3 linked regions of the Schizosaccharomyces pombe genome follow. The protein of the gene in region 3 purifies or fractionates together with the protein of the main gene of each other region. This does not show direct contact. Each region holds a gene or a part of one and is shown on either strand. Other genes may lie near its edges. The genes, in order: vip1, srp1 and tsn1.

Region 1 (10,199 bases), 3.2 Mb from region 3:
CATATCGTGGTAGATAACGATGAAACCGCAACTCAAATTCTTGACGTTATATATAAAGAAAATGCCGGTAGAGTTACGTTCATGCCTTTGAACAAGCTTCGTCCAAAGGCGGTTACTTATCCTGATGCCAGTGATGCTTTACCTTTAATTCAATATTTAGAGTTCGATCCCAAGTTTGATGCTGCGATTAAACAAGTTTTTTCGAAAACCATTGTTTGTCCATCGATTGAGACCGCCTCCCAGTATGCTCGATCTCATCAATTAAACGGTATTACTTTAAGTGGTGATCGATCTGACAAAAAAGGTGCATTAACTGCCGGGTATCGTGATTATAGAAATTCCAGGCTGGATGCTATCAAAAACGTTAAAACATACCAGATCAAATTCTCGGATTTACAAGAAAGTTTGGAGAAATGTCGTTCCGAAATTGAATCTTTTGACCAAAAAATTACTGCATGCTTAGATGATTTGCAAAAGGCTCAACTAAGTTTAAAGCAATTTGAAAGAGATCATATTCCTCTTAAAGATGAACTCGTAACTATTACTGGAGAAACAACAGATCTTCAAGAATCAATGCATCATAAAAGTCGTATGCTTGAGCTTGTTGTTTTGGAACTACATACACTTGAACAACAAGCTAATGACTTGAAATCTGAATTAAGTTCAGAAATGGATGAACTTGATCCCAAAGATGTGGAAGCACTAAAGTCTTTGAGTGGTCAAATTGAAAATCTCTCTCATGAGTTTGATGCCATCATTAAAGAACGAGCACATATAGAAGCAAGAAAGACGGCTCTTGAATATGAATTAAATACAAACTTATATTTAAGAAGGAATCCATTGAAAGCTGAAATTGGTTCTGATAACAGAATAGACGAATCAGAATTGAACAGCGTAAAGAGATCTCTACTTAAGTATGAAAACAAATTGCAAATTATTAAATCTTCATCTTCTGGGTTGGAGGAACAAATGCAAAGAATCAATTCTGAAATAAGCGATAAACGAAATGAATTGGAATCGCTAGAAGAATTGCAGCACGAAGTGGCTACCCGAATTGAACAAGATGCAAAAATTAACGAAAGAAACGCAGCAAAGAGAAGTTTGCTTCTCGCACGGAAAAAAGAATGTAACGAGAAAATTAAATCATTGGGGGTTTTGCCGGAAGAAGCATTTATTAAATATGTTTCAACTAGCTCAAATGCTATTGTGAAGAAACTTCATAAAATCAACGAAGCCCTTAAAGATTATGGAAGCGTTAATAAGAAAGCATATGAGCAATTTAATAATTTTACTAAACAACGCGATTCATTGTTGGCTAGGAGAGAAGAGTTGCGTCGTTCTCAGGAGTCAATTAGTGAGCTTACGACAGTACTTGACCAAAGAAAAGATGAAGCAATTGAGCGTACCTTTAAACAAGTTGCTAAAAGCTTTTCTGAAATATTCGTTAAACTTGTTCCGGCAGGTAGAGGTGAATTGGTTATGAATAGAAGAAGTGAATTGAGTCAAAGCATCGAACAAGACATCTCCATGGACATTGATACGCCATCCCAGAAAAGCTCGATCGACAATTATACAGGTATCAGCATAAGAGTTTCTTTTAACAGTAAGGATGATGAACAACTGAATATTAATCAATTGAGTGGCGGTCAGAAGTCACTTTGTGCTTTAACTTTAATTTTTGCTATCCAACGCTGTGATCCTGCGCCTTTTAATATACTCGATGAATGTGATGCTAATTTAGATGCACAATATCGCTCGGCCATTGCAGCGATGGTCAAAGAGATGTCAAAAACTAGTCAATTTATTTGCACTACTTTTCGGCCTGAGATGGTGAAAGTTGCGGACAATTTTTACGGAGTAATGTTTAATCACAAAGTTTCAACAGTTGAGTCGATTTCTAAGGAGGAGGCTATGGCATTCGTTGAAGGATAAAATGGTTATGGTTTGTTAATTTAAGTTCGCATTTTTCTTTTTAATTTCTTTGCGTGGACAAACCGATCTTTTTGCTATTAGTCATTCTTTCATTAATATCTCTGTTATTTAATTTTATCATACTTAATTTATAATTTTTATATTCATGATGCAATTGCGCTTGAATCAATCAGTGCGTATTACTACCAGAGTTGATACTTTCACATATAGTTTTTTTAAAGTTCTAATCCCAATGGAGAGTCATTTTAATAACTTTTTCCAGATTTCTATTTGTATTCAAAAAATCGAAAGCATGTCGTAGCGTTAAGACTTGTATAAATTCGCTATTTTAGACCTCCAGTCAGTGCTCTTAATTCGCGACAGTACTTACTACATTGTGCGAACAAGATCAAAGGCAGAGCATCTATATCCATGGAAAACCCTCCATACCATGTATCTATTTCCAAATCGGAAGGTGAATATTTTGAAGCTTGATTGATTTTTTCATTTACTAATGAATACTCAGAAATTAAATATCGCCAAAAGTGCAAGGATTTAAAGGCTAGAATTCAGGAGATCCAAAAAGGAAATCAGGAGTTATTAAGCAAATATGAGGTTATTCGAAGAGCTGTCAAGCGTGGCCGATTAGAAAGAGCTATCTTAATGGAACAGTTGGAATTGCAAAGTGAAGCAAAATCTCGCGAATTTGGACAGCGCTCTGAGCCATCTCCTCCTGTAAGTGTTTTTATAGAGTGAATTTATTGTAATACTTGTACTAATCATATGTAGCCTCCTCCCGAAGGTATTAAAATCAAAATATCAACGAAAGGCGCTGGAAACCCGTCTGCCAAGAAGTTAAAGATATCTACAGAAGAAACATCTGATACAAACGTAGCATTAAACAACACGTCGGAAATATCTCATAAATCATCAAATAATTCCCAGCCTAAAGATGCATCCGTCAATGACACAGATGCAGACTTTGAGCAGCAAAATCAAGTTGTTCAATCAAAAGATGAAAAAATTACGAATACTGATCCAATACCTTCTCCTATTATTACAAATCTTAAAACAGAAAGCTCAAAATCATCTGGAGCTAAAAAAGCTACTTCTAATGCCAAAATTACAGACACAATGTTATTCAACCATTTTTCGTCTATTCAAAAACCAAAATTAAAGGCCGAAGGCTCTACCTTGAAGGGACAAGCTTTGAAGAAAACTCTTGAAGATACATGGAATAATTTGACCGAAGAAGAGAAGAAACCTTATCATGAAGGATTGCTTGCAGCGCGTGAGAAGGCCAGAGAAGCAAGACGTCGACGAAGTGCGCAAAATTCAGCAAAACTAGAGAAAGAGAAAGCTAAAGAAAAGCAAAAGGATAAAGATCAAGAACAAGACACTGTTAGTGATAAAAATCAGATAGATGAGATAGAAAAAGGGCAGAAGGAAGTAGATGAAGAACCTGTTTCTGAACCCACCACTTCGCCTATTTTACCTCCAAAAAATCAAGAGCCAATTCGTATGGGAGGATTCACCGTTGTTAATAGATCCTCTAATGCTTAAAAAGAGCTTTCTGATGCAGGCATCAGATCAATGAGGCAATGCTTAAACTTTGTGTCTCAATATTAAAGGTTGGATTAGAAACTAATAGTTTGTCCACAATATATTTTCCTCCTCCTTGCCATTTGCAAAACTTTTTCAAGGTTCCGTTTTCTCTTCACATTATTTACTACCATTTATTCTTTTTTTTTGACTTAAAGTCATAAGATTATCAAAGCAAAAATTTTGAAAGACAATTAAGCGAATGTGTGATTTGAAAGTGGAATTAAGGCAATTACCAGCTGGTTTGTGATTAAACAATGACAACACGAGTTCGATTAATAAGTGTTTAATTTTTTTTTCTTTTTTTTCCAACTTTTTTTTGAAATACTGATTTGGAAAAGAGATTCGTGGTAACGACGAATGATTGTATTTTTTATCAGGGAGAAACTTTTTGCGATTATTTGAATATTTCTCTTCATTCTTTGATAATCTTTAATGATAAACTGTTGTATTTTTTATATATTTCTAACCCCAAGTCCTTTCTTATTTGCTGATTTGGTGTTTATAGAAGCCATCACTGTACGCTTGTTACTATGTTTACATTCACCGGAGTCCAAAATGTAAACACCATGGGTATTGTTTATGTTTACACTCCCTTTTTCTCCAAACATATTAATGATTTTGTGAACAGTTGTGTTTTCGTATTTTAGTGAAATTGCATATTACAAAATATCAAAACAGAAAAAAGAAAAAGCCAATATTAAGCGTGTATATTTTGTGAAACGTGAATAAAAAGAGCAATGGATTTCAACAAAATTGGTGACGAAAATGTCGTTTTCCAAATCTTTAAATTGGAGATGCTAATAATGTCGGAATTTCCTAGCTTTATCGAAGAAAAAGATAAACTTTTATGTCTCAACGTCTTAGCAAATCTTCTAGGAGGAATATTTGAAAACGAGGATAAAATAATTCCCAATTATAAAGAAGCCGTCATAGCGGCTCTCTTTGAACGTTTATTGCTATCTTCAAATCAAAAAAGTACCAGTAAAAGCAACCAAATGATTAAATTGCTAAACAATTCGTTAGCACATAATAACGGTTTGCCATCTCAAAGATGCAACCACGATTCAAAATTGGTGTATATGTCGTTAGTACAAAATAATGGTTTACCTGGTCAAAGAAGCAATTACGTTTGCTGTCCCTTATGCATGGAGCAGCACTGTATCGAACTGCTGACTTATCAGTTATTTGCAAAATGGCGAAATTTCCCAAGGATTGATTTTTCACCTGTTCTGCAAGGCAATCGGGGACCGCGATTCTTCTATACTTGTTTTCTGTGCAACTCAACGTTTTTAGCATCAGCGTGATGATTACGACAAATTTCTGCTAAAAGATGGATACATGAATTGCATCCAAATATAAATGATGATGAAAACTACTTATATATATCTTAATACTATCGTTATCTTTCATAGGTTTCACTCCAAAACATGCCAAATAAAAATGTATGTACTCGTTAAGCCAAAACAAATTACAAACTACAAACATACTCCTTTTTCCTTCAATATTGATAACATCATAGGGAATATAGACAGCAATTTTCCGATTAATGGGAGATAAATATCAGCGTATCTTATATAAATAACAATAAAAACTTCAATGAAAGCATTAATTATAATAATAATCGATAATACACTGAATCATTACAACCATCTGAAAAGAATAACAACAAGGTACTATAATTTACTCAGTGGTCTTTGACTCAGTGGTGGGAGCAGTAGGCTCCTTCTCAGCAGGGGCAGTAGGAGTGCTAGAAGCTGGGGAAGCCGTACCTTCAGCTTGGTTTTTGGCATCAGCAAGCCTACGAGCTTCGTTGTGGATGCCAAGCAACTGGTTTTTACCATCTTCATAGGCATTTTGAACCTTTTGTCCGGCAGAAGTGCCAGCAGCAGTTTCAAGAGCTTTGTGGAAATATGTGCTAACCAAAGAAGAGGTGCGGTTCAATTTGTCAGAAATGGCAAATTTATTATCAACCTCATTGGCCTTTTCGGTGACATGATAACGTTCGTTAACAGAACGAACGCCAGACAAAGCAGACTCGAGGATCCCCTTGAATTTTGAAGAAACGCCATAGCTTTGGTCTAGTTGAATACTCTTTTCCAAAGTTACATCGCTCAAATGATATCCGCGACTTAAAAGTTCAGAGATTATAGCTGAACGAGGCTTGTCTTCTTGACGAGCGGCTTGATCGCCTCCAGCACCTCCTTGATCGGTAGTAGAAGCAGCACCACCATCTTCACTGGTGATTTGGATTTTGTTTTGTCCAAGGAGAGCATCTTGCAAAAGTAAGGCCGTCTTGGTGGCGCTAGGGCGTTCAAATTGGATTTTCGCGGTTTGGGTTTCTCCAGATTTCTCGGTAGAGATGTTGGACACTTTACCGCAGAAAGAAAAGAAGTCTGAGATTTGTTTCTCAGTAACTTCAGGAGAGATGTTCGTTACAATAACTTGGTTGCTCATTACTTTTGTTTCAACTGGTAATATGGAGATTCAAAGTACGTTGAGTGCCATGGAGGCTGCTTTTAAGTAGTGATCATCGATGACGACATCCTCCCAATTACGATTAGATTGAGCCCAACGAAAAAACCACAAAAATGCAAAATTTCCTGACATTTCTAACTTGCCCTTAGCCTATATCACGGAAAGTTGACTTTGTGCTGCTTTGTTAATGCCACTACTTCATACTTTAAATCTGATATTACATTAATGAACGTGTGTTTTCAAAAGATTGCAATTATCGCGATAAGTGAGCCTAAATCAAAATGAAGCTGAAAATAGATGACAATTATCTTTTTATCTGAATATCACGATACAATTTTTATTGGTCACTGTAAACTAAATAGGATAACACTTAGATACTTTGCTGTACTCATGATTTCTTGACTTGGTATACTAGTTGGCTTTGTTCGTTGCATGGCAAAGTGCATAAATTGTGGAAAAAATATCCATTAAATTGCTATTACGAAGTAATTTCCGCTTCTACTATGTTTCGATAAATTCATAAACTTAGGACCGACATTAATTTTCCCGATATCGGCATATCCGGACAGTGAAAACTGATGTTTCTAGAAAACCGAATTTGCTGGATCGCCTTTACGGTCTTTCTAAAGAATGCGAAAGAAATATATGAATAGATTACCTCGCTTGTTCCTTTTCTCATGTTAGTCATCCAAATTGTTTCTTATTGAATAATGAGCAAAATTATCAGGTATATTGAGAAGGCAAGAGAAATATAAATGTTAGACCTACAATAAGTAAAACAAAGATAAGTTAAAGGCTTTCCTTGCTTCAAAGCATTTTTTAATCTATTTTCTCGATCTTACTTCCTCAATGTACATAGGTTAACAATATTTATATTTTACATTTGGGCTTAAGCTGCGTATAGAGAAAATAAAATATCATAAATATCATAGGTATATTGCTACAAAAGATAGAAATGAAAACCTCTTTTACAAGTAACTGTGTTATATTTACGAATTGGTGATTTGAATAAACCGTTGTACTTGAAGTTGGCACCTCACCTCGGAGTTTGTTGGTGTTTTATATTGATTAACCTACAAAGACACTTAGTCTAGTAGAGATTGTGCTTTGAATTTGTAAAAGACAAGAATCACCTAACTAGCCGCTAACCTGGTAATGTAACTGTGAGCGGATTATATGGTTACATGTTTTCTCACTTCCACAAACTTCACAAACACAACGATGGCGTCGAAAGGTGCTTATAAACGGGTATGGATTTATAATTTTAAGCTTCTTCTAATTATTTTAGTTAATGAAAGAATATCTAGCTCTTCAGAAAAACCCTGTTGAGCTTGTTGACGCTAAACCTGCAACTGAAAACATTTTGGAATGGCATTATATTATCACTGGCCCTCCGGACACTCCATATGAAGGAGGACAATATCATGGTATGTTTCTTTTAAATTTCCTTCTGTAATCAATATGTGCATGAACTTTTGGCTGTTGCCATCCTTTGCTAACTTTGCGTACAGGGACATTGATTTTTCCTCCCGATTATCCTTTTAAGCCACCTGCAATTCGCATGATTACTCCAAGCGGACGTTTCCAAACGAATACCAGACTTTGTCTTTCTTTTTCTGACTTCCATCCAAAATCCTGGAATCCCTCATGGATGGTTTCTACTATTCTGGTGGGACTCGTTTCTTTCATGACTTCTGATGAGATTACCACTGGAGGTATTGTAACTTCGGAGTCTACCAGGAGAACTTACGCAAAGGATACGAAGAGATTTAACATTATGGATAATCCTAAATTCTTAATAATGTTCCCCGAGTTAATTGACAAAAATAGGGAAGACATTGCCAAAGCAGCTGCTGAAGCGGCCCTAATCGAACCCCAACAAATTCACTCCACTCCTGTATCTTCCAATGAATGCAAGAAGAATGAACCGTTTAATTCAAAGCAAAGCTGGGTTAAAAGTCGCTGGAGCATAGCAGTTTTGGTGTTTTTTGCCCTTGCTTTAGCTCGTTTTTTTGGAGCTGATTCTTAAGATGTTATGCTTTGTATTTATTTTATTAACTTATGAAAGCGTTTTTGCATTTGATCCTCCGATAAAGAGATTAATGCCAAATAGCGCTTTGCCGTCCTTATATGTTTATTTTTTTTCTTTCGTTGCCTGTTGCCCCTTCATCTCTGCATCACATGTCGCGCTTCAATTAAAACTAAATGGAAGTTAATCTTTGTTCTAGTTTCTTTTTATAGACAATTGTCTCTTAGCAATTGCTTGATTTTTAGCTTACTAAACTACATTTTTTTAAATGTCGTCAAATGTTATTAAAGCTTCGACATTTCGGTAGAAAATAAAATTAAATTTTAGTTACTCAATTCATTATTTGTGATTTTCTTCAATCACTATCCAACTCGTTGCATATCCAGCGGCCACAATATAGGCCCAGCCTGGTAATTGAAGAGTTTTTGCATCATAAACATCTCTTTTATCATCATTCGAGGCATTTCCATGCTCATTCCAACCGTATATTAAAACACTTCCTTTCTTTGTCCTTAAAATATTGTGCTCAGTTCCACTGGCGATTTGGACGATATCACTTGCTTTTGTATGGGCCTTCTGAGCACGATCACAACGACCAAAAGCATAGACACAGCCTTCAGTACTTAATAGACTCAAGGTAGACCAGTTTGCTGATATAGAGCAGATGGAAGAAGACAATTCACTGTTATTTGCTTGCCAAGCATCACATTCTGCTGCTACATTCCACTTCTCCCCTCCTAAAACAATTACATGTCCTGTTTCTTGCAATACTGCACTGAACTGTACACCACATACAACAGCTTGAGCATGTTCAATACGCCCGAGAAATGAAACCTTGTTAACTGTTTTCATAACTACCGGTCCAAGTTGTCCTTTGCGGCCATCTCCACAACCATACAAGTTCCCTTCATTTGTAACACAAATCCAGTGTCTTAATCCAGCCGAGATATCAATAATGAACTCTTTATCGTCAAGGTAAGGAATGTCAATTTCCCTCAAACCTTGACTATTACTGCGATTCCCTTGACCCAATTCACCGGAAAGTCCTTCACCACATGAACAAACACGTCTTCGATCAGCATGTACTATAACGCTGAATTCCCAACCACAAGTCAGGAAAACCCAACGCTCATGACTAACACGGGTGAATATCCGTAAATAGTCTGGACTTAGGGGATTGTAAAGAGGTTCTTTCACTTCATATCCACATTGTCCCTTGCGATTATCACCACAAGCCCATAGTTGAGAATCCTCATCTAACAATAGGGTGTGGTTTCCACCACATGAGATTTTTTCAATTGCACGGTCAAATGGCACTATCTGTGGGCTGTAAACATCCTCATCATTGTTCAAACCAAGTTGGAAGTTACCATTTGAACCTAAAGATAGCAGCATAGAAATATTAGTTGTGGGTTTCTAAAGTGGTGGCACAATGGAGGTTTGTAAAATTTCATCTTCAGTACGATTAGTTTTTAATTTTTAGAATAATGTGAAATACATTATTTGGAAATTCCTATCATTTCGATTTATATTTGTGGTAACGATTTTCTCTTAAAAAAATTTTCGCCAGCGCTTAAAAATTTGTTAGCAACCTAATTTTTCTCTCCTCCACGTACCACCAACTTTGGAGCAAACATCAGGGGACAGCCAATATGAAGTACGTTTTAGTATCTGGAGGTGTTATTAGTGGTATTGGAAAAGGTGTAATTGCCTCTTCCACTGGATTACTGCTAAAAACCCTAGGATTGAAAGTTACTAGCATCAAGATTGACCCTTACATGAATATTGATGCTGGCACTATGTCTCCCCTTGAACATGGGGAAGTTTTTGTTTTGAATGATGGCGGTGAAGTCGATTTGGATCTTGGAAACTATGAGCGCTATCTTAATGTTACATTAACCCATGATAACAATATTACAACTGGAAAAGTGTATTCTAATGTCATTCAGAAGGAACGTCGCGGTGATTATCTTGGAAAAACAGTGCAAATTGTTCCTCATGTTACGAATGAAATTCAAGACTGGGTGGAGCGTGTTGCTCGAATTCCAGTTGATCAAAGTGGTGAAGAACCAGATGTTTGTATTGTTGAACTCGGTGGTACGGTTGGCGATATCGAGTCTGCTGCTTTTGTGGAGGCCATGCGTCAATTTCAATTTCGTGTGGGTCATGAAAACTTTGT
Region 2 (10,391 bases), on a different chromosome or scaffold from region 3:
GCATTCATTAAAAGTTTGTAATGCATTTCGAAAATTAGGTATTGATGCCCGAGCTTTGTTTGGGGAAACTAATGATTCGGAACGTGAAACTTTAATCCAAGATTTCCGAAAAAAGAAATTTCCTGTCCTTGTTAATTGCATGGTGTTGACTGAAGGGACCGATATTCCTAATATTGATTGTTTAATGATCGCTCGGCCTACAAGTTCTCCAAATTTACTTACACAGATGATTGGTAGGGGATTGCGATTGCATGAGGGAAAAAGAGATTGTCTAATATTAGATTTTTGTGATTCTTTAAGAAGAGTCAGTCTACATGTTGACCCTACTTTAGCTGGTCTTTCCCCCGATGAAGTTGAAAACTTTTATAATAAATCAAAGAATTCCCTTGCGAACCCTGATTATGATCCTAAAATTTATGGATTACAATCTGTTTTGTGGTACAGCAAATTACGGAAGTTGATAGAAATGATGGATAACATTAAAAACAAAGATAGGAGCATTTTCAATTTATCTACTAATGCTTGGGTTGCTGTCGGTATGGGTCGATATGTCTTGAGCTTTTTACAAAAGGTGTTGATAATTGATACAAATTTTGAAGATGGGACACATAAGATATCTGAATATACGAAAGAGAAATTAGGGACTCGAGTGTATAATCGAAAACGTATTGTATCCGATCGCATACCTTCCTTGAAATTCGCGATAAGGGCAGCGGAAACATACATTTCCAATTTGAAAACACCTCGTTCTCTTATTAGTCGTAAAGCAGTGTGGAGAATGAGACCCGCGTCTGTTAGACAAATAAACTTCTTGAAAAAATCAAATTTAAAACTAGATGAAAAACTCTTGACAGCAGGTGTTGCAGCTGATATGATTACTAAAGTAATTTATGGAGGAAAAGGTCGACAAGTTAGAACAGATAAGCTACAAAGTTATCTGAAACACGACGCAAATTTAAAGCGTATTACTACATTGAAGGAATTAAAGGGTTGATGGTTTCAGTGTTCTTCATAAAAATCGTTTTCTTCACTGTACCAGTGATAATATTTGCTTGGAGTGGAAAAGAAATGTCTATTATATGCTTTTAAAGAAAATATGAATGTCCTTATCTAAAAAGTATATTACTGGTATATATATTAAGACTGCTTCAGCTTGTTTCGTCTCCTTTCAGGTCGATTTTGAACGCTGCTGCGAGTTTTTCCTCCCAGCCTGGAGCTGAAAATTCTGAAAAATCAAAGCAGTTTTCATCGTCTAGTGCAAAAGACCCCTGTTTCAATCTCACAAGATCGACCATGTGTGCTTCACTATTTACTTGTCGGCCCAAATCATGAATTAAAGAGCGAACGTAGAAACCAGAAGAAACCGTCATATCAAGGACTGCAATTGGCCCTATTGCAGGTCGTGATCCTCGCGCTAAATCAGTGACTTCAAACTTTCGTTTTTTAGGGTTTGTGACAGTTTGATCTTTGGCTACATCTGTAACAGAATTGGTAGTGGGACTCTTCGCGTTTATTTTTTCATCACCATCTTGGGGATTGATGTCTTGCTCTGTCTTTGCAAGTAAATCATGACGTTCGGCACCTCCCTCAATAGGTCTTAAAAGTTCCTCACTTTCAATTGCCTCCTTTGAAGCAAATTCATCCGGATCCGTGTAGGTGTGTTCTTCCTTCGGAATAAAATCTTTTAAAATTAATTCTTCGCAATGCATAGATCGTGCTTTGATACTTTCAGGTAAAGGAATTCCTTCGCGTGCATACTCATATAGTCTCTTACCTTGAATATGCAGAGCAGAGTAAAGAGGAGGTAACTGAGAGATGTCACCTCGAAAAGCGTCTAAACCAGATAATATTTCCTCTTTAGTAGGGATGTGTACAGCAATCTTAATTATTTTTCCAGCAGAATCATAGGTATCTGTCGAGCAGCCAAACAGGGCTGTCGCTCGGTAAGTTTTCATACATGAAAGTAATGATGAAAGTTGCTTTGTTCCTGTACCCAATCCCACTACCAAAACTCCAGAAGCAAGAGGGTCTAAGGTACCTCCATGTCCAATCTTTATATCTGGTAGTCTGTTTGATTTTCTTCGTCTTCGATTACGATCGTTAGGGTGTGGAGGAGCAGGCCGAAAATATTGAGCTAGCTCACTGTTTGAAATTATTTTTTTTAATTCTGTCAGTTAGGATCATTTTAGTTTGCACAACAATTATTGCAAGTAATTGAATATTAATGGTAATTTAAAAGAAAAATACAAAAAACTCCCTAAATAACTTACCATTTAAGCATTGAGCAGAGGTTCTACCAGAAGGCTTATTTATGGCTATTAATCCACCTTTCATATCTAAGCATAAATCAGCGACGAAAAGGGCGTAAAACAAGATTTCATTTTCTTCATTTGCTTTAGCAGTAAACTTCGTTATCCTTTGAAATACTACCCTTGTGAAAAATAGGGTAGGGTTATAAGTATTTGTGACTGTCATAAATACTTAAGATCCAAAATTACTTAGGAATAATATCATACTTTTGTCCGTTTACCGACATGCCCTTTATCAAAGCAGTCAAGAGCAGCCCTTACTTTTCACGTTATCAGACGAAATATCGTCGTCGTCGTGAGGGTAAAACCGATTATTACGCTCGTAAGCGTTTGATTGCCCAGGCCAAGAACAAATACAATGCTCCCAAGTACCGTTTGGTCGTTCGTTTCTCCAATCGTTTCGTCACATGCCAAATAGTTTCTTCCAGAGTAAACGGTGACTATGTTCTTGCTCACGCTCACTCTTCTGAGCTTCCTCGTTACGGTATCAAATGGGGTTTGGCCAACTGGACTGCCGCCTACGCTACCGGTCTTTTGGTCGCTCGTCGTGCTCTTGCTAAGGTTGGCCTTGCTGATAAGTATGAGGGTGTTACTGAACCTGAGGGTGAGTTCGAGCTCACTGAGGCTATTGAGGATGGTCCTCGCCCCTTCAAGGTTTTCTTGGATGTTGGTTTGAAGCGTACTTCTACCGGTTCCCGTGTCTTTGGTGCAATGAAGGGTGCTTCTGATGGTGGTTTGTTTATTCCCCACTCTCCCAACCGTTTCCCTGGTTTCGATATTGAAACTGAGGAATTGGATGATGAGACTCTCCGTAAGTATATCTATGGTGGTCATGTTGCTGAATACATGGAGATGCTTATTGATGATGATGAAGAGCGTTATCAAAAGCAATTCTCTGGCTTGATTGCTGATGGTATTGAGAGCGATCAACTTGAGGACATCTATGCCGAGGCTTATGCCAAAATCCGTGAGGATCCTTCTTTCCAGAAGTCTGGTAAGGATGCTGCTGCTTTCAAGGCTGAGTCTCTTAAGTATACTCAAAGGAAGCTTACTGCTGAAGAACGCAAAGAGCGTTTCAACGCCAAGGTTATTGAGGCCGGTCGTGCTTAAAAAGGGTGCTTAATAAAAAATTGACATTGAAGAAAATTTTTATTTTTGGCGTAGCTTTGTTGTATATTCTTGTTTTGTTTTTTTTAGTTATGATTTATAAACGTAAAGTAATAACGGTTTTTTGCTAAAAAACTTCATGAATTTGATATATAGTTAAAAATTGTCTATGCGATTTTGGTGTCCAAACTAAAAGTAAAATATTAACACACATGTATGTTGAAAAAGTTGTATTCAACAGTAATACCTTGGAAACAAAGGCTGCTGGTAATAAAAAGCTCTGAAATTAGAAGTGCGAACAACAAAGTTGAAATATGATATTAAAATGGCATAAATAAATAAATAGATAGTTTTATTACAAAAATTTTTAACTCAAACTAGTGAACTGTCAAAATTATAGTCTACAAAATCCAGAAGTCAAAAAGTATTTTCATAGTAATTGCAAAAGCTAAATATATTTTGAGCACACTGTTGTGCCCTTAAAGAAGGAAACAAGCGACCATCATACCATAATTCAAACAAGCGTTTGGCAGTAGCATACCGCTAAATAAATAAATGCAAAGGAACATTCATGGTATCAATTTTTGCGGCATCACACAATTGATGTGAGAAAGAAAGCTTATATTGTGAGATAAACCTACGGCATAAAAGTTCAAGCAACAGCGAGAGAAGAAATTGGATTCTAAATCATCTGTTCAGAGCAAAATCTGCCACGAATCAGCACAGTCAAAAGTGGAAATTGTTGAGCTTTTTCTTCGGTTTTATTTTCTAAAAAAAAATAAAGCGCCCTGAAAAAAAAAGGACAGATTTACACAAACATGACATTTCAGAGTTTTAGCCGGATAAACGACATTAACTGTGTTACGGAATTTTGGAACAAAAGTAAAGGAATATAGACAATTTTTAAAACATGAAAACCTTTTTTTAATTAAGTACAAAAGTTTATTGAGACTCTGTAGTAGTAGGGTTGGATTCTGGTTGCTCTGAAGCAGCTGACACTTCGGGTTGGGCTTGTTCTGGTTGCTCTTGTGAGACATTTGAGTTCTCTTCCTTAGGAGGCTCTTGCTTACTTTCGTTTTGACCGACTGGTTCAAGATTATTAACTTCCTCGTTACCATTAGAGTTAGGTGCAGATTGTTGTTCAACTTCAGTGCCAGATTTTTCGTTAGACTCAGAGATTTTTGTGTCACCATTATCAACATTCGTTTCAGTTTCATTCTCTACTGGGCTCTTTTGAGGTGCAAAAGAGACTGGTGAAGGTGAACGATGGTTCCGTTTAGGAGAACGACGATCATAATCGGGAGACCGACTACGTCCATCAGGACTACGACTACGCGAACGATAACGAGGGCTCATTGATCTTCTATCAGATCGTTCATCATTATAAGGGGAACGAGATCGGGCTTCGTGCGGACTAGGTGACCTTGAACGTAGCCGTCCAGAATCTCCGTGAACACGACCTCCTCGTTCGCGTCTTCCACCACGTTTGGAGCCAGGGCCTGACGGAGGTGGTTGCTTGGCCCATTCTACACGAAGAACACCGCCACCTCTTTCGAGACGACGTCCGTGCACTTCATAATACGCATCTTCAGCATCACGGGAATCTTCGTACTCAACGAATGCAAAACTATCCAATAAGACGGTTAAAATCTTTACTTAGAAAGCCATTTACTTACGGTCTTGAAGTTCGAGTTCTAGGGATTGGGATGTCGCAACGTATTAAAGGCCCAAAACTAAATGAATAAATTAGCTATTTAAAGTGCATGAAAAACAACTTACGGCTCAAATTCATAAGCAAGCTCACGAGCACGCATTCCATCTCGAAATCCTGTCACATAAAGGGTACGAAGGCTTCTGCGACTCATTTTTTTCTTAAGAAGACGTTTTTTGCTCCAAAATTCGGTGTAAGTGGAAGGAGGAATGGAAATCCAATAGCGAATAGCACGGTGTGGCTAACGAATTTAGTAAAAATCACTCGTGCTCACTAAATTGAAATCCGACGACAAAAAAATTAATAATGACCTGCAGCGCGAAATACAAAAAGTAACTGCTAACACCAATATTAAATCAATAAAAGCATCGTCTTACAAGTACATATACGTTTACGATTAAAAAATTAGAAAGAGAATAATGTTAACCAACTAAGCTATTAGATTTTCATTGTATTCATATCTGGGAACGAACACTATTGATGTACACTAAAGCCGGATCAATAATGCACCGGTAACCTAATTTATGAACGCTAACCAAATGAGAAGCAACTAAGAGCTGATCCCATAAAGTGTGAGAAAAGGAAACGAGCTTGAACAAGGTAATTTAAACCTTGAATGCACGAGACTTTCTGCGACCACGAGCTCTCTCGAACTTACGGCCCTCAGAACGAACATAAGGAGCCTTATGCTTGTGGGGACCAAAGCCAAAGTGACGGTAAGCCTCACGAGCATGCTTCTTACCACGAACAAGAACAGTGTTGCTTCCAGTGGGAGCACGTAGAGCAAGCTGATCGAGGGTTAAAACTTCACCACCAGCTTTCAAAATACGAGCGCGAGCAGATTTAGTAAAACGAAGAGCGGCAATAGAAAGCTTAGGAACAGTCAACATACGCTCATCGTCGGTAACGGTTCCGACAACGACGGTGGTTTTGTTCTGAGAAGAAGCACTCTTACGGCTAGTTAAAGCAGCGATCTTTGAGATAGAAATAGGAGGACGGTTAGTCTTGGATTGAAAAAGACGCTTCAAAATAGCCTTGTTGAAGCGGGAATCTGTACGACGGGCCAAAAAACGGTAAAGCTTAACCAAAAGCTTTAAGTAGACGTTCTCCGAAGCAGGCTTGCTGCGTTGAGACTTTTTAACGTGATGTCTCTCGATATCAATTCCCTAAATCACTCATTAGCTTAATAGAACAAACAGGTATTCATATTATACATACCATTTTGATATAACGCTGCTTGTTCGTTTCAATAATCACTGCTAAAATTGGTAGTAAATTTGTGACTGCCTTTTTGAGCTAGGGTAGGTTTTAGGGAGGTTTATCGAGAGTCACTAGGTACGCCTTATTTGTGTAGCAAACCCATAAACGGAGGTGTATAAATGATTCAATATAAATAAGTATTTGCTAGATTATTTATTTATAATAGTGAGATTTTGGAATAGGGTAGGTGTTACTTTTGCATTTATCGAACACGTTCATTAACTCTCTAAAAATTAATTGTTTTATAAAACTAGATATATGAAAAAGATGCATTTGAATTTTACTGCAAATAATAATTGAATTATATAACCATATTTCATTGAAAATATTATACTTTATGGAACCCTTCAGTATTCATTTATTGTAAACCTTTTCATGCTTTTTGAGTAGACAAAGAAGTATTTTTTTTTTAAGCTGCACGAAAATTGCAAAAATTGATCGGAATACAATTTCTTTTACTATTGGGCGCTTAAAAGATAACAAAAATAAATATAAAGTGCGAACACGAAGACGTTGCAAATACTAGCATATTTCAAATATTAAGCACATAAGTAAATTAATCAATATATTTTTATAATTGATTATTCAAATCTATGTATCTGATAACTCGTAAAATTGGTTAGGTTACTTATTTACCTATTTTTTTTTTTCTAAAAGTATCATTTTAAGACCACGAGTCATCTACAGGATTGATTTTAATTTATTTTAGGCAATAAGGAACATATCTCGATTTAATAGGAAATCTTTGCAGAGATTTCTATCAATTACGAGATTAGGATATTTTTTTGATCGTTTAGATAACATTTTCTATTTAAAGGGATCAGAATGTTGCTAAAACAAATATATTTGCTTCGATGCACAAACACTTTCTAAATTGAACGTAATTATTAATCAATGATAATATTTGATTATTTAAGTTACTTGCATGTTTAGCTCACATTAACTATTTTAACTCTACGAAATTAAGTAATTGTTATGTCCTCTATCAATTTGATTTGAAGCAATTTCATGTTCTTCTTTTGGCATAGATTCAGTCAGCTTAGTAGTTGCAAGTAGATAATTCTCCATACTCTGATTGCTAATTTCTTTAGGTATTTAGCTCTTTTTTAAAATCAATGATATTTACTTAATTACTTTGGAAGGAGAAAACCATTAATATTATCTATTTGTATTATGAGTTGTAACGTGGTTTCGTGGTGTAGTGGTAGCATACTTCGTTTGGGTCGAAGTGGTCACGGGTTCAATCCCCGTCGAAACCCGAACTTTTTAGTTTGTTTTTTTATTTAATTCAGTATAAAAGCAAGTTTTCAACTTTTTATGTTTTCTGCCATTCCTGACTGCGGGTAGTAAACACGCGGCCATTTAGCAAATATTATCACAAATGCCGTAAATACTTTCTGTTCACTATAGTTTGTGCTTATAATAAACCTCTTTAGTTTTCTTTAGCGAATATGGTTAAAGCTGTCCTTTTTGAAACACTTTAACATGCAAGTAGTAATAGGCTATCATTTTTTGGTCATTAAATATTAAATCATTCATAACACTATATTTAAAAAGGAAAAAGTAATTCATTTTCTGTTCACCATAATAAAATATTGTATCACCTTAAACAGCGATAAAGAATCGTAATGCCACTTAGTAAACGGATTTCTACGCTAACTTGCTGGAATCTACTATAGATGATGAGTATCTTCAGTACAGTGCTTAAACTATTATGATGTCAACTGAGGACGTCATACTGTATACGCAAAGTATGTAAATTCTATTAATACATATATACCCACCACAACATACCAATTTAAATCAAATTCGTTAGTGTTTACAACTTTGAAGAAAATTTGACTTTTATCTCTCCTCATATTCACTGAAAAATTTTTTAAGATGTCTGCAAAAGAAGGAAGCTCCCATCCCTCATATGCCGAGATTGTAAGAGAACATGCTCCTGAACAAACAGCAGCAGAAAAAGCCGCACCACAGCCTCCTGAAGTTGAGGAAGTTCTGAGTGAAGAACCCTACCAAAAAAATGAAAAAGTTGTCGTTTTAGATGAGGAAGATGCCGACGCCTTTCTACATCCCGAAGAGGCGGAGGCAAAGAAGGAATCAGAAAAACCATCCGATGGGGAAAAGAAAGGTAAAACTGAGAAATTGGAAAAAGAAGCGAAATCTGTTTACTCCAAAGCTTGCAATTTTGTCAATGCTCATAAAGTTCCAGCTTCTGCTGCCATATCAATCAACCTCCTCAGTCTTGGCGCCATCTCTGCATATCTCTTGAAAAGCCGTCAATCTGGAACCCTTAACAATCGTACTCTTTGCACCTGTACCGCTATTGCTGGCATTGTATTTACAATCAGCGCTGTATTTTCAAAGACTCCCAAAACTGCATGCTGTGCTTCCAAAAAGTCTAATAAATCAACTTAATGTTCGTTAAAATCTGGAATTCATTGTTTGAAAATCTCCAGTATTGTTTATTCCTATCATCTTCTTAAATTAACATATCCCCTCTTGATTTTCTGCACTTCTGCTGCATTTTACAGGTTTGATGAAGAATACCTCTATAGTATATCACAATATTTTATTTAATGTTATGATTTAATTGAACATTACTTGTAATGCTTTTGCAATATTAACTTAGTGAATTTAGTAATTGATTCCGACTATTTGGGCGTTCTGGCATAGCACTGTCATCACACAATTTATTTATTTGTCGCGATTACTTAATTAAACAATGCGTTCAAACAAGTATAATTTACAAAATAAATTCTAAATAAAACCATAATTATTTATTAAATGTAGAAAATGATAACTAAAGAAAAGGGTTTAACCGAGAGTTCTTTTTGCCTAAATATGTAAAAGAACGAATGAAAAGGGAGAAAGGAAAGTAAAAATTGAACGAATGAAGAAATAACTCATGCACTTGAAGATGCTTTTACGTGAAATTAACTCCACAGAAACAGCATAATGGTAAATATGAAAAAAAACATGACTTTAGATAACAAATAACCAAAATATTTTGTTTTCTTTGACGAACGACTCAATGTATTTGAGCTAAAGGAAGCAGACAAAAATGCACACAGTAATATCCTAGTGTGCTAATGAAAAATCTAAATGACATGAAAGGCTTTGGCCTTAAAAAAAATTAACAATTTAGGAATATAACAACCCACGTTTGTGTTCACCTAAACGCATCCCACGTTTCGGAGCAGCTTGAGCCCAGCTGTCTCGTCTCCTTAAACCAGCAGTTGGAGTTGCGATTATAGTAGGCTTAGAGGCCGTACTAGCATAATTAGCATACAACGTATACATGTACGTTGGAGATGCAAAGACAGTCGAGGTGGCAATGGGAGGACCTGCAAACGTGGTAAATACGGAATAAGAGGAAGTTTCCCATAGCGGTTGTATGTCGGTCGTAGCAGCAGTAAAAGTAGAATCTGGTCGATTTTGAATAGGTCCTGTACGGAGAACACCGGTAGTTTGAGATAGATACCAATCTCGCATTGTACCTGTAGGCCATACACCAAGAAAAGTGCTAAAACCAGTAAGGGTAGGAACATAAGGATACACACCAAGAGCCATCAAAGACGCATAAATTTCGTAATTATCAAAAGTTCCTGTTAGACCATTAACAGTGAAAAAGTCAGTATAGTCATTAACTATACCACCAGCATATGTAGATTGTGCCCAAAGAAAGTAAAGACGTCCAGCTGGTCCAAAAACCTGAGAAATAGCGAAGGGTCCAGCTTGGGATATAGAAGAAGGACTAGGGGACGTATACAAGACTGCACAAGGTTGAGGAGCATCCATGCTACCACTACATATATAAAAAACTGTGTTGGTTATGTCCTCAAGAGGTATTCCCGTATTAGATTCTTCCCATGAAAACGAAATAGCGGTAAAATCCATACTATCTGTTGTCGCCGGAGTGACGAATCGAATTTGCGCACATACATAATGTATGTATGAGCAGACTAGCAATACTAGCATCAACATGGTGGTTTTCATTAAAT
Region 3 (10,121 bases):
GCTAGAAAAGAATACCTGACTAGTATGTTTTCGCCTTCTTACCACTATGCCTTTTTAGTTGCTTTAAACGTGACACACTGTATGAGTTAATTCTATCACAAGGCAACTATAGACTGAAAGGATATAAATTCGCATTCATGCAGACGCTTGTCATTTTTCACTATAATAGTACAACAGTGATTTATTTAATTAGGCCAAATTATAACGGCTTTTGTAAGATTCCTCCACCAGCGAACATATCTTGCTCAGTATGCATATTAATAGTATTACAGATGAAACTTGTGCGCTATACTACTATTTAAAAAAATATACACAAAAGAAAAAGTGGCAAGCAGGGGCGCAAATATCGCTATATAAATTATTATAATGAAGAGGTTATTCAACCAATTTCATTTGATGTTTACCGTGCTAAATAGATTCTCGCTTTGCAAAATGTCGTCAGTTCCACGTGAAATTTGGGTTTTCATCAAATATTATCTTAAGGATAATCCACTTTTTTTTTAACCTAAACTGAATAACCATTTAGTATTTAAATTAGTAATCTGAATGTCTTCTATCTATTGAGTCAGATCTTTTGAATTTCAGTCATTGTAGTTTTTCTGTACCGCCAAAATACAAAACTTGTCTTACCAGTTTTGAGTAATTTAAATATTAAATTTAGGAGCCTTTGACATCAGGCTTGTTCGGGGCTAAGATATAGTGTGAGATAGGTTGTTTTGTTGAATTTGCTGATAACGATTGTTTATTCGTTTAAATGTGCTACTGTATACGTATCCCTACCATCCGCAACTACACACTCCCATTAAAATATCATTTACAAACTCTTAAAAATAGGATTAAAAAACTTTTCTATTGGAATTTCTTGGAAATTTCATCCACGTATGGAAAACTTTCACCATCGTCCGTTTAAAGGTGGTTTTGGAGTTGGTCGTGTACCAACCTCTTTGTACTATTCCCTTTCAGATTTTTCTTTATCTGCGATATCTATTTTTCCTACACATTATGATCAACCTTACTTAAATGAGGCACCATCATGGTATAAATATTCTTTGGAGAGTGGTCTTGTGTGTTTATATCTGTATTTAATTTATCGATGGATTACTCGGTCGTTTACTGTTAAACAGACCGTCGGCAGTGAATTTTCAGGGCTGCGAAAAGCTCATGGAATTTTGTTATGGCTTCTGTCTATTCTCTTTTTGGGAATGACTGCTTTCATGTTTGTAAATGACGCTTTTCCTACTGCATTTTCTGATCCTCCTGTAAAAATATGCTTACTTGCATATTCCGTCCATTTGTTTCTTTTGCATTCTCTTCGAATGATTTATCCACGTGCGCGACCGACCTTGTATCATGCAGCAGTTTTGCTTAATTTACTCCTTCTTCCCCCCATCTTTCATTTCTACTCTTACCCCTTTTTTTTCGTAGACCATCCTCCTCTCTCTAGCTATTCTCCTTTCCTATGGTTTTACTTTTTTATTACCATTGTGGGGAATTTTATCCCATTGTTCACCCCCCGTGTTTGGTATCCTTTATTTCCTGAGGATAACTATCAGCCTTCTGCTGAACAGGTCTGTAGTATGTTCAATTTTGCATGCTCCTATGGATACCTGAATCCATTAGTTTTGACAGCTAAGCGTCGTGTCGTTGAAGTTGACGATACTCCGGTTATACCAGATTATGATAAGAACAAAGCTTGGACATATCGTTTCGAACGCATGAAAACCCCTTCCCTATTTATTACTATACATAAGATATTTTGGAGACAAATCTTGGGGATGGGTGTTTCCAGTTTTATGGTCAGCGTCTGTCAGTTTCTTTCTCCTATTGCCTTAAATCGTCTTCTAAAGCATTTGGAATCACCTTCATCTAGTTCAGTTAATCCATTGGTTTGGATTGTCCTTTTGTTAACTGGCCCCTTTCTCACTTCTCTTTTTACCCAGTTTTATTTGTTCATGTCGACTCGTTACCTCGCGCGTTCTTACACAACTCTTGTACAGCAAATATACAACAAAGTCATTCGATCTCGATTTGTTCAAAACAAATCGGGGGATTCAAAAGTTGGAAGATCCAACAATTTAATTTCTACTGATGTGGATGATATTGGTGAAATTCGTGAGTTTATTCATATCATTGTTCGTGCGCCTGTTGAAATTGCTGGATCCATTTATCTTCTCCAAAAACTTTTAGGGTGGAGTGCGTATGTTGGTTTAGCGTTAACTGTTTTAACTTGTTCCGTCCCTATTGTTTTAGGACCTTTGGTCGCAAAGCTTACATTGCGAGCTAATCGTGCAACTGATTCGCGTATCGAGCTCATGTCAGAATTATTGCAGAGCATCCGTATTACCAAATTTTTTGGATGGGAATTGCCAATGCTTGATCGAGTGAAACAACGGAGACAAGTCGAACTCAATCGTACTTGGAAGTTATTACTAATGGAGATTTGTATACAGGTGTTAGTTGAATCACTTCCTGTGTTTAGTATGTTCGCAACTTTTGTAGTTTTTACTACCATAATGGGCCAAACTATTACACCATCAATAGCTTTTACCTCTATATCCTTATTTTCTTTCATTCGTACACAATTTTCTTGGATTGCCTATCTTATGCGTCAAATAGTTCAAATTTTCGTTTCCATTGGTAGGGTTTCTGACTTTTTAAATGACCCCGATGAAGTGGATCCTGTCAATACTATTGAAGATACTTCCCAGGAAATTGGTTTTTTCAATGCTTCTTTAACTTGGGTATCCAATCCGTCTCCTGGAGATTTTTGCTTACGAGATTTGAACATTGTGTTTCCCAGAAATAAACTGTCAATTGTAATAGGTCCCACCGGTTCTGGCAAAAGTTCGCTAATTTCCGCATTACTGGGAGAACTCAGTTTAAATAAAGGTTCATACAACCTACCTAGATCAAAAGGCGTTTCCTATGTTTCTCAAGTACCTTGGTTGAGAAATGCCACTATACGAGACAATATCTTATTTGATTATCCGTACATCGAGGAGAGATATAAAAAGGTTATCCAAGCTTGTGGATTGCTCACTGACCTACAAAGTTTTGTTGCAAGTGATCTAACCGAAATTGGCGAAAAAGGTGTAACGTTATCTGGTGGCCAAAAGCAGCGTATTGCTCTTGCGAGGGCAGTATACTCCCCAACATCAATTGTTTTAATGGACGATGTTTTCTCTGCGTTGGATATTCATACTTCCAATTGGATTTATAAGCATTGCTTTCAAAGTTCTCTGATGGAGAATAGAACAGTTATTTTAGTAACACACAATGTCCATTTATTTATGGATTCTGCTGCTTTCATAGTTACTGTCAAGAATGGATCTGCTTTTCCCGTTACTGATAAGTCATCCCCTCTTTTATTTTTGGCTGAGCAGGCAGCATCAGCTTCCGAAGCAGCTGCTCCAGATCTTGCTGCTATACCTATCCCAAATGAAGTCGATGATGCGGAAGCTGCTGACGAAAAAGATGGAAAGCTGGTTGAGGAAGAGCAGCGGGTTACAGGCGATGTTGTATTTAGTGAAATCTTTAGCTATATGAAACATTTTGGCTCTGGATTTTACGTCGCTGCTGTTTTACTGTTTTTCGTCACTACTCAAGCTACTTCAATTTTGATCGATTTGTGGGTTGCTTTTTGGACAAACAGCTCCGTGAATTCTCCTGACGTCAATAATAACAAGTTTTTGTTTGTGTATGGTACAATGTTATTAGCATATTCTTTGCTTGATTTTTTGAGAACCGTGTCTTATGACCGCGGTGCTTGGTGGGCATCAAGAAAGCTTCACGATTCTATGCTTGAAAGCGTATTCGGTACCTTTGCCTCTTGGTTCGATAAAACGCCAACGGGGAGAATTGTCAATAGATTTGCTAAAGATATAAGGTCTATTGATATGAATTTATCGGGATGGCTTTTCTTTTCCATTAATTGTTTCCTATCCGTCGCTGGAGGTATTTTATCGGTGTCTTCCGCTATGCCTATTTTCATGATACCTGCAGTAATAGTTTGTTTAGCAGGATATTACTTCGGCTTGTTGTATACTAGGGCACAGGTTGGCGTTAAAAGATTAATTTCAATTTATACTTCTCCTATCTTTAGTCTGCTTGGCGAAAGTATCGTCGGTGTGAGTGTAATTCGCGCATTCAATCGACAAACCATTTTTAAGCAAATGTTTTCTGAGCGACTTGATAATCTCGTGCGCTTACAATCAACCTCTTATAATTTGAACAGATGGGTTGCTGTTAGAACAGATGGCATCAGTGGTCTAGTTGGTGCAATTGCCGGTTTAATCGCTCTTTTGCAGAAAGACTTGTCTCCAGGTGTGGTGGGTTTTTCTCTTAATCAGGCTGTTATTTTCAGTTCTTCGGTTCTGTTATTTGTAAGGTCATGTAATTCGTTGCAAGCTGAGATGAACAGCTATGAACGAGTTTTAGAGTATAGCAAACTTCCGCAAGAACCAGCACCCACTATTGCAGGCCAGGTACCAGCTACATGGCCTAAGGAGGGAGATATTGTGTTTAATCATGTTAGTGTTAGCTATTCCGCAGCCGGTCCTACTATCCTTAAAGACGTGAATCTTCATATAAATCCGAGTGAAAAGGTTGCTGTGGTCGGTCGTACTGGTAGCGGAAAGAGTACTCTTGGCCTTACACTATTACGGTTTACACATCGTATTAGTGGTGAAATATATATTAACGGTCGTGAAACACAATCGGTAAACCTAAACGCTTTAAGGCAACGTATATCATTTATCCCTCAAGATCCAATCTTATTTTCAGGTACCGTACGCAGTAATTTAGATCCTTTCGACGAGCTTGAAGACAATTTTCTTAATGAAGCTCTCAAAACAAGTGGAGCCAGTTCAATGATTATGGCTCATACTGATGATCAAAAACCTATTCATATCACACTAGATACACATGTTGCTTCTGAAGGTTCTAATTTTTCACAAGGGCAAAAACAAGTCCTTGCATTAGCACGCGCAATAGTTAGACGTTCCAAAATTATTATTCTAGATGAGTGTACTGCCTCTGTGGATGATGCTATGGATCAGAAAATTCAAAAAACATTGCGTGAAGCATTTGGCGATGCAACTATGTTATGTATTGCCCATCGTTTGAAAACTATTGTTGATTATGACAAAGTCATGGTCTTGGATAAGGGTGTATTGGTAGAGTATGGTCCCCCAGCCGTACTTTATCATAATAATGGTCACTTTCGACGTATGTGCGATGGCAGTGGAATTACTTTTCTGCCTCCTGAAACTCGAGGTTCGAAATCAGCATGATTTTAATTTTAAATAATGTTGGCTGATGAAACTTATTTTGTAAGCTTAGATTAATTTAAAGGAAATTATTCAATTAGGTTAGATTCTTCTTCAGTTACATAATATATCATTTTACATATAAAAGATCTAAACAACCCAAGCGTTTCTTTAGCAGCTAGTAATAATTTTAGTTAATAACTTGCAAAATACCCGCTAAATTGATTATCTTTATTTTACGACTTAAGAAAAAGGTTGGTATAATCTGGCTGATAAATATCACAACGGTCGTGTTATTTGCATACTGAAAACATCATTCGAATATCAACACTACTCAACAGCATACATTACAGATTAAGTCGAATGAATAAATCAATATTTATTCAGCTACAAGATCAAATTGATAAAGAACATAGTATTCGGGAGGTACTAATCTTGGAAATTATGACAAACTAACATTACAGAAACTGACTGCAGAGGTCGATTTGTTAGACGAAAAGTTAAGAGTTTTGCAACTTCTCTTGGCAAACTGTGAACAAAGTAGAAATGAAAATTTACAAGAAAAAGAACATGGACTAACTTTGGAAGATTTAGAAAATCAGGAAGAAATTTTAGAAGCTCTTGAGATCATTAAAAGCAAAACCAGAGGATTAGCAGAATTGGCATCGAATTTTCCATACTATAAATATAACGGAGTCTGGGATCGATCAATTCAGAAAGTTGTTTATTTATATTTGCTAGCTTCCTGGACCGGTCGTTTAGATAAAAGTTTAAGACCCACGTACAGCCTTCTATCGCTTTCCGAAGTTGGTCAAATTTTGCAAGGTGCGTAAATTATTTTACATTTTTCTCACAATCTTCAGTCCCGGTTTTTCCAGAAGAGTCCACTTTTCATCTTTCAATTGAGCAATATTTGCACGCAGTACTATCTCTGTGTTCTGAACTGGTATATATTCTATTCAACAATCCAAATTGACACAATTTCTAGGCTCGTCAATCTGTAAACTCAGTAATATCTGGAAACTATCATATTCCATTTGAGGCCCTAAATACTATTCAAAAAGTTCATTCTTCTTTTCAAGTACTCTCTTTGAAAAACGACTCCTTAAGAAGACATTTCGATGGATTAAAATATGATTTGAAAAGATCTGAGGACGGTATGAAATTTACGTGGATTTTTTTTTTTTTTGATAGTTTATTTCTGACATATGCAGTTGTTTATGATCTTCGGATACATAAATTGGTTTAAATTGCTAACAATTTATTTGCCAGCTGTACGCTTGACTAAAATTGAGCCGATAAAATTGCTTTTTTAATATTAGGTCTGCTTATTTGCTATGAAACTGGCAGTCCTATGATGAATGCAATTATATTTCTCTTTCTTTAATTTTGTTACACTCTCTGGCAAACTGAATAGTTATTTAAAAAAAAAATATTTCAGCCTAGGTTTCTTTAAGTTCTGATTTTTCTTTACCCAATATTCAAGACGTTTTCCAGGGTACTAAATTAATCATTGGACTGGTATACAACATGTGTTATAAGTTAGTCGCATTTTACCAGATACATGTTAATGGCGGCATAAGTAGATACTTTTCTAACTTTTAATCAACTGCATTTAGCTTATATTTCTTGATGTCCTATGCACCTTTAAAATCTTTCAACAAATGATTACTATTTTTAAATTGAACAACCCTGATTGCGTAGAAGGCGTGCATGTTTTTTTAGCGATTAAAATCCGGGGTCTTACTAGTGTTAATCCTTAATTCTTTTAGAACAATTGATAAGGTAAAGGGAAGCAAGATTAAATTAAAGAGACCGCAAATTGAAATTACTGTGTTTTTAAGCCTAAGCAATACTTACTAGTCGTAAGTAATAAGTCAGTACCGAAATTGAGCGCATTACGAAATACAAATTAAGGATAAAAATTAACTGTTTACTAATGTTTAACGAACTAGTAATTTTCGTTAAATTCATGAAAAAATATATCAAAAAAAAGCTGGAAGTTTTCAAACATATGTTTTACGGCTGATTTTATTCAACCTTCTATTTTGTAGAACATAAAGAAAATGCCATTAATAATTGTTTCAGGTTATCCATCTTCAGGGAAAACAACGAGGTCAAATGAACTTAAAAAGGCTTTAGAAGATCGAATTCATCAAAATATCGACAATACAAAGGATTATCGGGTGATAATAATAAACGATGAGAGTTTAAACATTGAAAAAGAAACATATCGAGGTATGTTTAAATAGTTATCTTTAATGATTTAGTTTTTGGAAATTAGCCAATTCATTTTTGGCTTCAGATTGTGCCCAGCTACTCTAGATGATGGGAGAATCCGTATATGCAATTTTTCGTAATTCTGGTAACTAATTTGTCTTAGAGTCCAAGAACGAAAAGGCCGCTCGTGGCCTTCTCTATTCTGCTGTTCAGCGTGAACTTTCAAAATCTACATTCGTAATTTGCGATGCCTTGAATTACATAAAAGGATTTCGATACCAGTTATATTGTGAATCAAAGTCTATGTACACAACTCATTGTGTGATTCATGTTGCTGTTCCTCAAGATTTATGTCGAAAATTCAATAGTAACAAGGAACAGCCGTATCCTGACGATGTTCTTGAGCAATTAATGTTTCGTTATGAAGAACCGAATGGAATGACACGATGGGATTCCCCTTTATTTACTGTCTTGCACGATGATGCTTCTTGTCCTATCGATGACATCTGGTCAGTTCTTATTCATAACAAAAATGTCAAGCCTAACCAAGCTACAATGGTAAAACCTCCAGCTGAAGTCAACTATTTATATGAATTAGATAAAACTACTCAAGACGTAATCATGCTTATACTGGATAATTCCAACGATACCTCCTTGATTACTGTACCAGGGAGCAAACTTCAAATCGCATTACCCAGTGTTACAGTATCTCTTCCTTTACTTCAAAGATTGCGCCGTCAATTTATCCAAATTAACCGGCAACAATCATATAATACCAATGTTCTCAAGGAAATGTTTGTCGAATTTTTAAATGGTCAATTTGAAACCTTGGACTGATATCCTTTTCTTAAACTTTATGATATTTTTTTTTGGGATTTTTAAGGGGACGAAAAAATGTAGCCTAATATTAATACTTAACTTTGTTTGTTTCTTTTTTTTAGAACATGTTTAAAATGGTAGAAATCGTACATTTTGTTTAATTCCTTAATCCTTTTACAGTTTAAGGAATGCTGTCCTGTAAAAAAGAAATAAGAAAACGTTCACGGTCAATATCGACAATAAAAGTTTCAGTAAAACAACGAATATTGTATAAATCTAGTTATAATGTTTACTATTTAATCCATACTGTAATAAAACAATTTATTATAAGTCTCGCTCGTTTGCTTTATATAAGTAGCACATTGAACCGAGATCTAACGTTCGACACATTAAGGCCGAAAACACTTAGCAAAGACATACTCCGCCTTATATTTCATTGCTAAAAGTTGGCTCGTCTAGACGGCAATTGGCTTGAACGTGACCGATGCCAAAATGCAGGATGCCTCTGAACCTGTGATCAATATGCCTGCTCTGCCTATGAACTCCGTGAATGAGCAACATGACAGACACGAAGATCTTCCAGAAGTTGGAACAACATCAGTTACTAAAATTATTAATGATTCTGACAACGAAGATGATGAAAATGGTATGGATCTCGGTCGTGTTGCTTCTGAAAGTTTAGAAGGCGATGCTGTGGTAAGTATTGATATAAATACAGAAGATTCGTCGTTGTCGCCAGCGAAACAAGAAAACGAAAAGAGTCCCGAAGGAATCGAGCAGAAATATCAAGAAGAAGACTTGAAAGACGACAAAAAATCCAATGAAACTATCGCGACGCCTGTACCTGACGCTGCATCGAGGGCCAGTTTGGAAAAGCAAAAATCAGGTTTAACCAATTTGGAAAAATCCACTCATGTAGTGCTTATAAAGTGCATCGAGCAGCTTATACAAATAAAAGTTTGTATGAAGAACGAGAAGATGAAGAATTTAATGGAGCAACTAAAACCTCTTCTACAAACCGAATGTCAGTTTGACAAATTTTTGATAGTAGAGTTATTTCAGTACTGCTTTGAATCCAGTCAAGATGAAGTTATGAACATTTCTTTAGACACTATTTCTAAACTTGCTTCATTCGCCTATTTTTCTTCAAAAGATAAAACACCTGCCTCATTTGGGCCCCCTAAATCCCTTCTACAGTGTATGGTTGATATGGTATGCGATAGTATCAATGATGAAGTTGTTGATGGAAATCTGCAATTGAATGTTGTAAAAGCTTTATCTGCCTTTATCTTATGTTCTGAGCAGGATAGTATGCTTCATGGAGCGATATTATTGAATTCTGTTCGTAAACTCTTTAATGTCTTTCTTCTCGGGGATAGTGATACTATACAGTCAGTTGCTCAAGCTTCTTTGACTCAGGCTGTCACTGTAGTCTATGAACGATTACGCGCGAGCCACACTCAGTCGAACTCTACATCTGCTTTACCGGAAGAAGATGCATCGGTGACGGAAAATTGGGTTCACGATGAGGATGAGCCTGACAAGAAAATTACTCTTCATTCTATGGCATCTGCTGGCACTTCATCATTAGATCATGTTAAAGTTGACGCAGATGACCCAGCTGTCACCAGTGTTGAGAATTCCTCTATCCAAGACGCGTTTTTAGTGTTCCGATCCATGTGTCGACTTGCTGTCAGACAAACCTCGCCTGATAAAGTCAGTAATATCAGATCTCAAGCTATGCGCGCGAAATTAATTAGTCTCCATCTTATATATCGCATTTTAGAAAAAAATAGTGACTTATTCATGGATCCT

Evidence for each region.
Region 1: the proteins of tsn1 (region 3) and vip1 purify together in Schizosaccharomyces pombe (affinity purification with western blotting; one study listed by BioGRID). This does not show direct contact.
Region 2: the proteins of tsn1 (region 3) and srp1 purify together in Schizosaccharomyces pombe (affinity purification with western blotting; one study listed by BioGRID). This does not show direct contact.

The regions. Positions count from the first base shown.
Region 1 is NC_003424.3:1,212,942-1,223,140, reverse strand, and holds vip1 (RNA-binding protein Vip1), read right to left. Parts: upstream 6,003-10,199; 5' UTR 5,971-6,002; coding exon 5,197-5,970; 3' UTR 4,913-5,196; downstream 1-4,912. Other genes in the region: psm3 (mitotic/meiotic cohesin complex ATPase subunit Psm3/Smc3), read left to right, coding at 1-1,932; Ino80 complex HMG box subunit Nht1, read left to right, coding at 2,344-2,386, 2,438-2,646, 2,701-3,474; protein mug94, read left to right, coding at 4,254-4,820; ubiquitin conjugating enzyme Ubc6, read left to right, coding at 7,213-7,239, 7,280-7,418, 7,503-8,020; RCC domain-containing protein Ats1, read right to left, coding at 8,360-9,415; CTP synthase Cts1, read left to right, coding at 9,673-10,199.
Region 2 is NC_003423.3:3,357,774-3,368,164, reverse strand, and holds srp1 (pre-mRNA-splicing factor srp1), read right to left. Parts: upstream 5,322-10,391; 5' UTR 5,282-5,321; coding exon 5,196-5,281; intron 5,150-5,195; coding exon 5,093-5,149; intron 5,044-5,092; coding exon 4,359-5,043; 3' UTR 3,650-4,358; downstream 1-3,649. Other genes in the region: ATP-dependent DNA helicase Irc3, read left to right, coding at 1-994; pus4 (tRNA pseudouridine synthase), read right to left, coding at 1,149-2,167, 2,271-2,475; rpl502 (60S ribosomal protein L5), read left to right, coding at 2,535-3,419; rpl1801 (60S ribosomal protein L18), read right to left, coding at 5,733-6,293, 6,346-6,348; SPOM_SPBC11C11.06C (uncharacterized protein), read left to right, coding at 8,269-8,805; knh1 (KRE9-like protein), read right to left, coding at 9,532-10,386.
Region 3 is NC_003424.3:4,391,102-4,401,222, reverse strand, and holds tsn1 (translin), read left to right. Parts: upstream 1-5,593; 5' UTR 5,594-5,630; coding exon 5,631-5,693; exon of another isoform or gene 5,694-5,731; coding exon 5,732-5,807; exon of another isoform or gene 5,808-5,855; coding exon 5,856-6,092; intron 6,093-6,130; coding exon 6,131-6,213; intron 6,214-6,255; coding exon 6,256-6,424; intron 6,425-6,481; coding exon 6,482-6,516; 3' UTR 6,517-6,847; downstream 6,848-10,121. Other genes in the region: vacuolar phytochelatin and glutathione S-conjugate ABC family transmembrane transporter Abc4, read left to right, coding at 882-5,291; kti12 (elongator complex-associated protein Kti2), read left to right, coding at 7,334-7,505, 7,651-8,324; Sec7 domain-containing protein sec72, read left to right, coding at 8,799-10,121. UniProt on the Schizosaccharomyces pombe protein: DNA-binding protein that specifically recognizes consensus sequences at the breakpoint junctions in chromosomal translocations. Selectively binds single-stranded d(GT)n and d(GTT)n microsatellite repeats.